Linked DNA regions of Macaca mulatta. The protein of the gene in region 2 purifies or fractionates together with the protein of the main gene of each other region. This does not show direct contact. Links are inferred from orthologs where the notes say so. Each region holds a gene or a part of one and is shown on either strand. Other genes may lie near its edges. The genes, in order: WASF2 and CYFIP2.

Evidence for each region.
Region 1: the proteins of CYFIP2 (region 2) and WASF2 purify together in Homo sapiens (co-immunoprecipitation; 3 studies listed by BioGRID and IntAct, with this or other methods). This does not show direct contact. The link is inferred for Macaca mulatta from reciprocal best matches to the Homo sapiens genes CYFIP2 and WASF2.

The regions. Positions count from the first base shown.
Region 1 is NC_133406.1:213,544,989-213,548,793, reverse strand, and holds part of WASF2 (actin-binding protein WASF2), read right to left. Parts: intron 2,851-3,805; coding exon 2,695-2,850; intron 65-2,694; coding exon 1-64. UniProt on the Homo sapiens protein: Downstream effector molecule involved in the transmission of signals from tyrosine kinase receptors and small GTPases to the actin cytoskeleton. Promotes formation of actin filaments. Part of the WAVE complex that regulates lamellipodia formation.
Region 2 is NC_133411.1:166,135,399-166,139,942, reverse strand, and holds the start of CYFIP2 (cytoplasmic FMR1-interacting protein 2), read right to left. Parts: upstream 2,955-4,544; 5' UTR 2,841-2,954; exon of another isoform or gene 2,452-2,840; intron 1-2,451. UniProt on the Homo sapiens protein: Involved in T-cell adhesion and p53/TP53-dependent induction of apoptosis. Does not bind RNA. As component of the WAVE1 complex, required for BDNF-NTRK2 endocytic trafficking and signaling from early endosomes.

The DNA.
Region 1 (3,805 bases), on a different chromosome or scaffold from region 2:
GCTGACCACACTGGATCTTTTGGGTCCAGCCAAACCAGATCCTCTTTGGTTGTCCACTGGGTAACTAAAAGGCCAAAGAAAAAACACTCACCATCACCCTTAGAATGCAAACACCTACCTACAGTTAGCCTTGTCTATAAGCCGAGGTTTATCTTGGTTGACTATACCATTTCACTTTGGCTTAAACAGAAAGAAAAACCTACAGATGGTCAGAACAGACAAATAATGAAATAAGCAGCCTTGTAAGGTAATGAGCTTCCCACCAGTAGAGGAGGATAGCCAGATTGAGTAAAACTACCTGAAAGAAGTGGACTTGAGATTCCTCTATCAGGTAAGGGCTAGCTGAGACATCTCTCAGACCCCTCTGCCTTTCCAGCTCTAAGGGGAAGGCACCCTCCCTCCCTTTCTCTAAGAAGGATGGTCCATGGCAGTTGCTAATTTAATCCTGGAGCCAGGTTAAGGGTGCATGCAAGAAAGAACTGGAATAAAAATTCAAACACCACCCACACACTAGGCTCTGTTTCTCAGGCTATTAACATTCACCAGCATTGGAAAGGGCAGGAAACCCAAGCCAGGCTGACCACACCTGAGTGGGATATAGATTTAGGTGAATGCATCTTCAGTGCTCATGTGGGAAAATCTTGAGAGAGAATGAATCTCAATCTGAGAATCCGCAGAGATGGGAAATGAATGTGCCACCAGACTCTTGACCCAGGCCTGAAAGAGGATTACGGCTACACCTCTCCTGGGATCAGATTTGCTTGGCTGCAGCTGCAAGGTCTCAGGCCATGTGTGAAGCAGAAGGTTTTCTTTTTCCACCTTTGTATCTGCCCTGCACTAACAGCTACGCCTTAGAAAAGCAGCCATTTTGGAATTTTCCACAGACCTTCCAGTCTTAGCTGCATCTGACAGGGCCACCAGCAGGAAGTGATTTGGGAAGCAGGAGATTTGGGATTAATGGTTTCTAGGGCCAAGAAGAACGAGGGGAGAGGAGGAGGGCAGCACTGCTTTAGGTCTCCATCTGAGGGGTCCTCAACATATTCAATCTCTAATTAAGCAGTATCCAAGGAGAAAAGTGCATCTTTCAAAGCTCTCATTTATCAGGCATTAGAAGGGACAAAAGTAACGGAGAAAACAGTGCAATCTGAACAATTCTCAGATCTCTTTTCAGTCATTACTGCCTAACACTTCCATTGTACACCTCTGCCAGGGACACTGACAAATATAAAAATGGACGAATTTGGAGTTTCATCCCCCTTTTCCCTTTGTTTCATTGTTTCTGGAGATTCAACATAGCAGTGAAACTAACCAGCACTAAGAGAGGAAGTGACTCTATGCTAGGTTCCTAGACAACTGGGCAAGGTATCTGCTAACTATTTCCTGAAGAGCGGATTGTACCACTTCATTTCATGATGAGTTAAAGTTAAGGAAAAGGCCTGTGCGGCAGAGTGGCTCATGCCTGTAATCCCAGTCCTCTGGGAGGCCGAGACGGGCAGATCATGAGGTCAGGAAATCGAGACCATCCTGGCTAACACAGTGAAACCCCATCTCTACTAAAAATACAAACAATTAGCTGGGCGTGGTGGCGGGCGCCTGTAGTCTCAGCTACTCGCGAGGCTGAGGCAGGAGAATGGCATGAATTCGGGAGGCGCAGCTTACAGTGAGCCAAGATCACGCCACTGTACTCTAGCCTGGGTGACAGAGACTCTGTCTCAAATAAATAAATAGGGAGGCCGAGACGGGCGGATCACGAGGTCAGGAGATCGAGACCATCCTGGCTAACCCAGTGAAACCCTGTCTCTACTAAAAAAATACAAAAAAAAAAAAAAAAACTAGCCTGACAAGGTGGTGGGCGTTTGTAGTCCCAGCTACTCGGGAGGCTGAGGCAGGAGAATGGCGTAAACCCGGGAGGCGGAGCTTGCAGTGAGCTGAGATCTGGTCACTGCACTCCAGCCTGGGCGACAGAGCAAGACTCCGTCTCAAAAAAATAAAATAAATAAATAAATAAATAAATAAATGAATAAAGTTAAGGAAAAAACAAGAAAGAAGGTGGTAACTTCTATTTGTTTGGGTCTAGGCTAAACAGGAGTAGTTAAGAATATAGGTTCTGGAGTCCAACTGACCAATCATGGCTCTGCCCTTACTGGCTGTGACCTTTGGGTCATTTCATTGACTCCCCCTGTGCCTCAGTTTACTCATTATAACATGAGAATAACAGTACCTATCTCAAAAGAGGACTCCAATGGGAATGAAGCAACATATATATAGAGTGTTAATTATTTCTATGATCTAGACAGTCTTGTTTGAAGTTATTTTAGTGATCCTGACCTAGGGTTTTAACTCTTTTTTTTTTTTTTGGTCTTGCTCTGTCACTCAGGCTGGAGTGCAGTGGCATGATCATGGCTCACTGCAGCCTTAACCTCCCAGGCTCAAGCGATCCTCCTACCTCAGTCTCCTGAGTAGATGGGGCCACAGGCGTGTGCCACCAAGCCTGGCTAATTTTTTTGGTTTTTAGTAGGGATGAGGTCTTGCTATGTTAACCAGGCTGGTCTTGAACTTTTGGCCTCAAGAGATCCTCCCACCTTGGCCTCCCAAAATGCTGGGATTACAGGCATGAGCCACTGCTCTTGGTCCATCCTTTTGTTCTTGAGTGTATAACCACCGACAGTGGATGGAGTAGGTACCACCATTTACCTGAATTCTGCTGGTGGAGGAGGCAAGTTGTCCTCGGAGAAGGAAGGAGAAGGTGAAGAAGCAGAGTCTGACTGTGGTGGTGGCGGATAGCTACTTGCATCCACGTTTTCAACACAGCCAATGCTGCCATTCTGGTACACCAAGGTGGGTGGATACCTGTCAATGAACCGAATGCCAAAAACTGTCATTTAAAGAGCCTGAGTGGGTTTTTTCTTCTTAAAAGGTACTACAAAAATGCATTTGATACAAAAGCTATTAGGGAGAAATAAAATAGGTATATTTCCCACATATTTTCTGTTACACTGAAATTTTATTTTAAGACTAAATATTCTATTGTCAAATATATCCCAGATATTTCTGCTGAATTGTTTGTAGTAACAGGATTCAACCCAGATTATCAAAACTGCTCCTTGCCCAGTGTTGGCCTTGTCAAGCCCAGCAGTTCTTTTAAATTATCTCCCCAGTGTCAGGTGCAGATATACCTGAATCCCAAAGTCCTGTGGCAAAGGGTGAAGCCAAATCCCAGAGGCTAGTGAGCTGCAAACACGTGACTGGCACACAGCCTGATTTTGAGGTCAGCAAGCCTCTGGAAAGCTGGAAGGCCAAGGAGGCACTGGATTGCAAAATCAAGCTCCGGATGAATGCAGGGTGCTATGTGGTAGTAAATGTGGTCTTTCTGCCAGGTCTCTTATCAAACAAAATGAGCTGACGATTAAAGTAGGGTGCTAGGGCTTGCCTCATGAAAACCTGTCCCTCAGTGCACTGGGCCTTGGGTGAATTTGTTCTGGGTGAACAACAACAAAACTTCAAACAAGCACAAATACACCAAGCATCAGCTAACAAAATCTGGCCTGCTCTGCTCCACTTCCCCCTCTTTCCACTATTGTTGGGGTCTAAAGAACTCATCTAAAACAGACCCCAGGGAGAACAGAGTTGGAGGAAACTAACTGAATCAAAAGATGCTCTGATGTGGAAAATCCCCAAGGCCTGGAGCCCTGGAGCCTTGGCACGTCTCTTTATAGGTTCACCAACAGGCATGTCCAGATAGACTAACCATGAAGCCCCAACTCCAAACCGCCTGGACAACAGGAAAATGGGAGACAAATCCTCA
Region 2 (4,544 bases):
TTAATGATTATGTAACGAATACATTATAACAATAAATATATAAATATGCTAGTACTTACTATGTGCTAAGCATTCTGCTCGGCACTTTCATGCACCCCTCGGGTAGTAAGAGCATCCAAAGATATACTAGTTCCTCCCCCGCCCCCATTCACTGCCTAGAAGGCAGCAGCCTGCCCCCCTCCTCCCACCATCTCACTACTGATGCAGGGGCCATCCCCTGGACCCTAGGCATGGCTTTGCTCCTCAGAATGACACGACCAAAGGCCTTTCATAAAGACTCCAGTGAGGTGACTGATGTCTGGCTTCGTCAATTACAAGTGAATAATTAATACTTGCCAGTAAAGAAATAGACTCATTGTTATGGTGGCCACCTGGAGGCTACAAAAGGCCATTTTGTGACACTCTTGGTGGACCCCTGGGGCCAACAGAGGTCCAAAGAAGCCGCCTTGAGAGTGTAGTCCAATCCTTAAACGTAGGGACTGGGGCCCGTACTGTTTTCCAGGAGCGCTTTTCCGTTAATTAGCTTGTTGCCTATTCATCTCATTCAGTTTTCTGGTCAATGACAGCAGCAGAGGCCCACTGAACATCAGAGAGGGCATGATTTATCAGAGGGGACATGTAGAGTTCTCCCAGGGCCTTTTACCAGTTTTTGAATTCATGTCTACTTCCTTCTCTGGGCCAGCATCTGATTTGAGTAAAATTCTCCAACCCCATTGGGTTGTACATTCGACTCTTGGCCTAATGCCTAAAGCAAGTTTTTCCTTTTTCATTTTTCAGCAGGGACTGAACAAGGCAGCCTTGGGTGCCTACAGAACCGGTCAGAACTGGCCAGGAAATATAATAAAGAAGCTTAGTGAGCAGAGAGCTAATGCCCCCAGCCAGAGGCTCAGTGTGTAGAACTATCTAGAGGCACTGACTTTGTAAGCAAACAACACTCTCTTCTTGAGGTCTAATAATTGCCTTGGCAAAGGGTAGCCAATGCCAACGAGGAACCCTGTGTACACAAGTTTCTCATCCTGAAAGTGGACACTGGGTGCTCAAAAAATGCCTTCCGGTGACAGTAACCCCTGACCAGTTAAACAAACATGCACTCATGCACACACATGCACACACACTCTTACAGCATTCCTGCCCCCAGGGCCAAAGCTGCCCTTGCCAAATACAGAGCTGACAGCTGCTAGATATTGTCATTTCAGGGACCTGTTCCCAAAAGAACTACCCAGCTCCCCACCTCCACTTCCAGCCCACTGTTTGAAATTCCACCATTAGCGATAGCAAATATTTCTACAGTGTTTCCCATTAAAGCTTTGTTTCCCATTAAAATGCCTCCATCCTCTGTTTATTTTCTGGTCAAATGACTTGTAAAGCACCTGCTCCGCATCAAATGCGAACTTCTTTTGTATTCAGCTCTTCAAGATAAACACAATCATTGGCTCCTTTCTTGAAAACAATTTCTGACACTGGAGACTGGGGGAAGAGCAGGGCACTGTATGGAAGTGGAGGTGGTAGGCCACCAGGAGGGCCACAAAGAGAGGGTCTAATGGTGGAGAAAGCAACCGTCAAGGCCTTCACAGACCTGCCCATAGATACGGACCTGATTTTTACCCTCTAAGATCTCAGGGACCCGGGTTGCTGGCACAGCCTGTATCCAAGAGAAAGGTGAGACCCACTGCCCTAACTGGGACACAGACAGGAGGCAGGAAATGGGAACACAGGAACCGACACTCTCCTGATTTGCCCCTCCTGCCAGCAGGACTGCCTCCGTCTCCCTGCCCATGCTGAGGGCACAGGCACCCAGGAACTAGCAGAAAAGGATCCTTGTCCCATTCTTGGCCTAGCTGGAAGGACAGCTGATGGCTCGTCGGGGCTGGTGAATGTTTCCACTGTGCTGGGGAAAGTAGGCAAGCAAAGGTCAAAATCAGATTCCCTGTGCTGGGGGGGCACCGGGGGGCTGTCAGTGTCCTTTCCAGCCGGGTTCTGGGTATAGAGGGCCATACTTCTGTGGACCATCCCCCATCCCCAAGCAGAGAGCACCTCCTCTTCTTTTGCACATAGGTGGGCTGTTCCTTGGGGTGACGGGTAGGGTTGTCTTGAAAAGCAGACGTCACAACAGACAGGTAAGCCTCTTCCTGGTTCCTCAGAGCTCAAGAAAAAACAATCTTTTCCCCCAGGAGTCAGCCCACTCATCCCCTTCCCCCACTTCCATCCTGCCCGCGGCCAGCCTGGAGAGCGATGCTAGTGTAGGCCAGAAAGCTTCCAAGCGGGTCAGACCTGCTTCTCTCTCATCAAAGCCCTCCGCCCCCAAACATCGCCGCTGCGCCCCTCGCCCCACCCATCACACGTTCTGTGTGCCCGAGGCGGCTGCCAGGCGGGCCCAGGCGGCTCTCGCTGGCCCTGGGGGAGGTGACGGTGGTCACAGAGGCAGAGGCAGGGGTCAGCGCTCTGCAGTACCTGGACCCGAGGATGTCGCCGCCGCCGGGCTCGCGGCCACCGCAGGTGTCTCCGGTCCCTGAGATTAGCACCGCCTCCTCCCGGGCTGGCGGCTCCGGCCCAGGCCGCGCACCTGCTGCTGCGGCTACCCCGCCGCTGCGCCGGAACTCCGCGATGTGCTCGCGCCTCCCGGGCAGAGGGTCGGTGCCGCGGGACGCACCGTGCGCCCGAGGGGGAAAGGGGCCGCGTGGGGCCTGAGGCCGGGCCTTGCGCTAGCCCGGGCGCAGCGCCGAGCGCCCCCCGCGGACCGGGAGAGGGGGCGGCCCTTCGCGCATCCTCACGGCCTCAACCCCGTCCCCGGCAGCATCCCGGTCCCCGTGCCCGGCCCAAGGCCTGCGAGCGCCGCTTACCTGGCTCTGCGGCGAGTTCAGGGGAGGGGCCCAAGGCTACCGCAGGGCCCCGCGCCGGGGCGCAGGATGCTCTGCCCCGCTCCGCTGCGCGGCGCTCGGCCCCGCCCCGACCCCGCCGCTCCGCCTGCCGCGGCTCCGCCCCCGCCCAGCGCCCGCCCCTTCTCTGCTGCGGCTGTCACACAAAGGGCAGGAAATGGCTGCGGCGAGGGGCTCTCGGCGCTCCCCGCTGTACCGCCGGCGCGCCCGGGACCTGCCCCTCGGGCTCAGAGGACAGCTCAGCACCCAGGCTTCCTGCCCTGGGGGCGGGAAAGGGAGGGAGGGCTTCTTCCACGGCCTCCATCACTAGGAACCACACCTGCAGCAACCCGAGAACGAGAGCTTCGGCCGCATTCGGATCTCTTTGGCCCCACATGATTTCCGAGTGCTCATTTATCAACCCAATCTTTATTGATTACCTATTCCGTTCCATGTACGGTGCCAGGACCTGGGTGTGCACTGGTGTACAAAAGACAGGGTCCCTGCCCCCGTGGAGTTTTATCACCTTCCAGGAGAGACGGGTGTACATTAACCCATCTAACGTCCAGTTACAGCCCAAAGTGCTGTGAGGAGAAGTAGCAGGGTCAAGTGACTGAAGATGCAACTGGGGCTAGGGGAGGGGGCCTTCCACCAGTTGAACCTGGACGCTGATGGGGCTTCTTCGCTCAAGAATAAGTTCTTCCCCTCCCTTCCAGTTCCCTGGAGAAGAGTCCCTGAAGCTGCCACCTCTTTAACAGGGGCCTGCCTCAACTTCATTCTGGAATTGCTTCACGGACAAATAGGCGACAGGAAGCACTGAAAGGACAGGTACCTTTCTCTTCAAGGCTTATCTGCCGTTACGGGCTCCTTAAAGAAGCGATTATCTGCCCACCGGTGGCTCACACCTGTAATACCAACACTTTAGTAGGCCGAGGAGAGAGGATCGCTTGAGCTCAGGAATTGGAGACCATCCTGGGCAACTCAACGAAACTTCATCTCTACTAAAAATTAAAAAAAAAAAAAAAAAAAAAAAAAAGATGGGTGTGGTGGCATGCACCTTTGGTCCCAGCTACCCAGGAGGCTGAGGTGGGAGGATTGCTTGAGCCTAGGAGATTGAGGCTACTGTGAGCTATGATCCCGCTGCTGCACTCCAGACTGGGTGACAGAGTGAGACTGTCTCACAAAAAAAAAAAAAAGAAAGAAAGAAAAAGAGAGAGAGAAGAGAAAGAACGAGAAAGAGAGAAAGAGGAGAAGAAAAGAAAGAAGAGAAAGAGAGAAAGGAAAGAGAGGAAAGAAAGAGAGAAAGAAACAATTCTCATTGAGATCCAGCCTGGTAGGCCTTCAGACCAGGCTGAAGTCAGGCTGCACCAAATTCTAACCTTGAGACACCTGAGCAGGTTACTTCACCACTCTGCTCCACAGAGGTCACCATATCTGCAACACAGGGAATGACGGTTGCCTTTTATACCTTACAGGGTAAACAATTTGAAAGCATTTAAGACATTGTGGAGTGTATGTAGACATAAGGAGTGGTTTCCTAGGGTCCACAAATTTATACTTAATCACTCAGCTATTCCTAATAAGGGCAATTTGTAGAGGAGCCCCGTTATTCAAGCTCCAGCAAAGGACTTGTAGAAGCCTTTGCTTGCCCTTACTGATCTCACCTTATTTCCCAAGTGCTCAGAATCC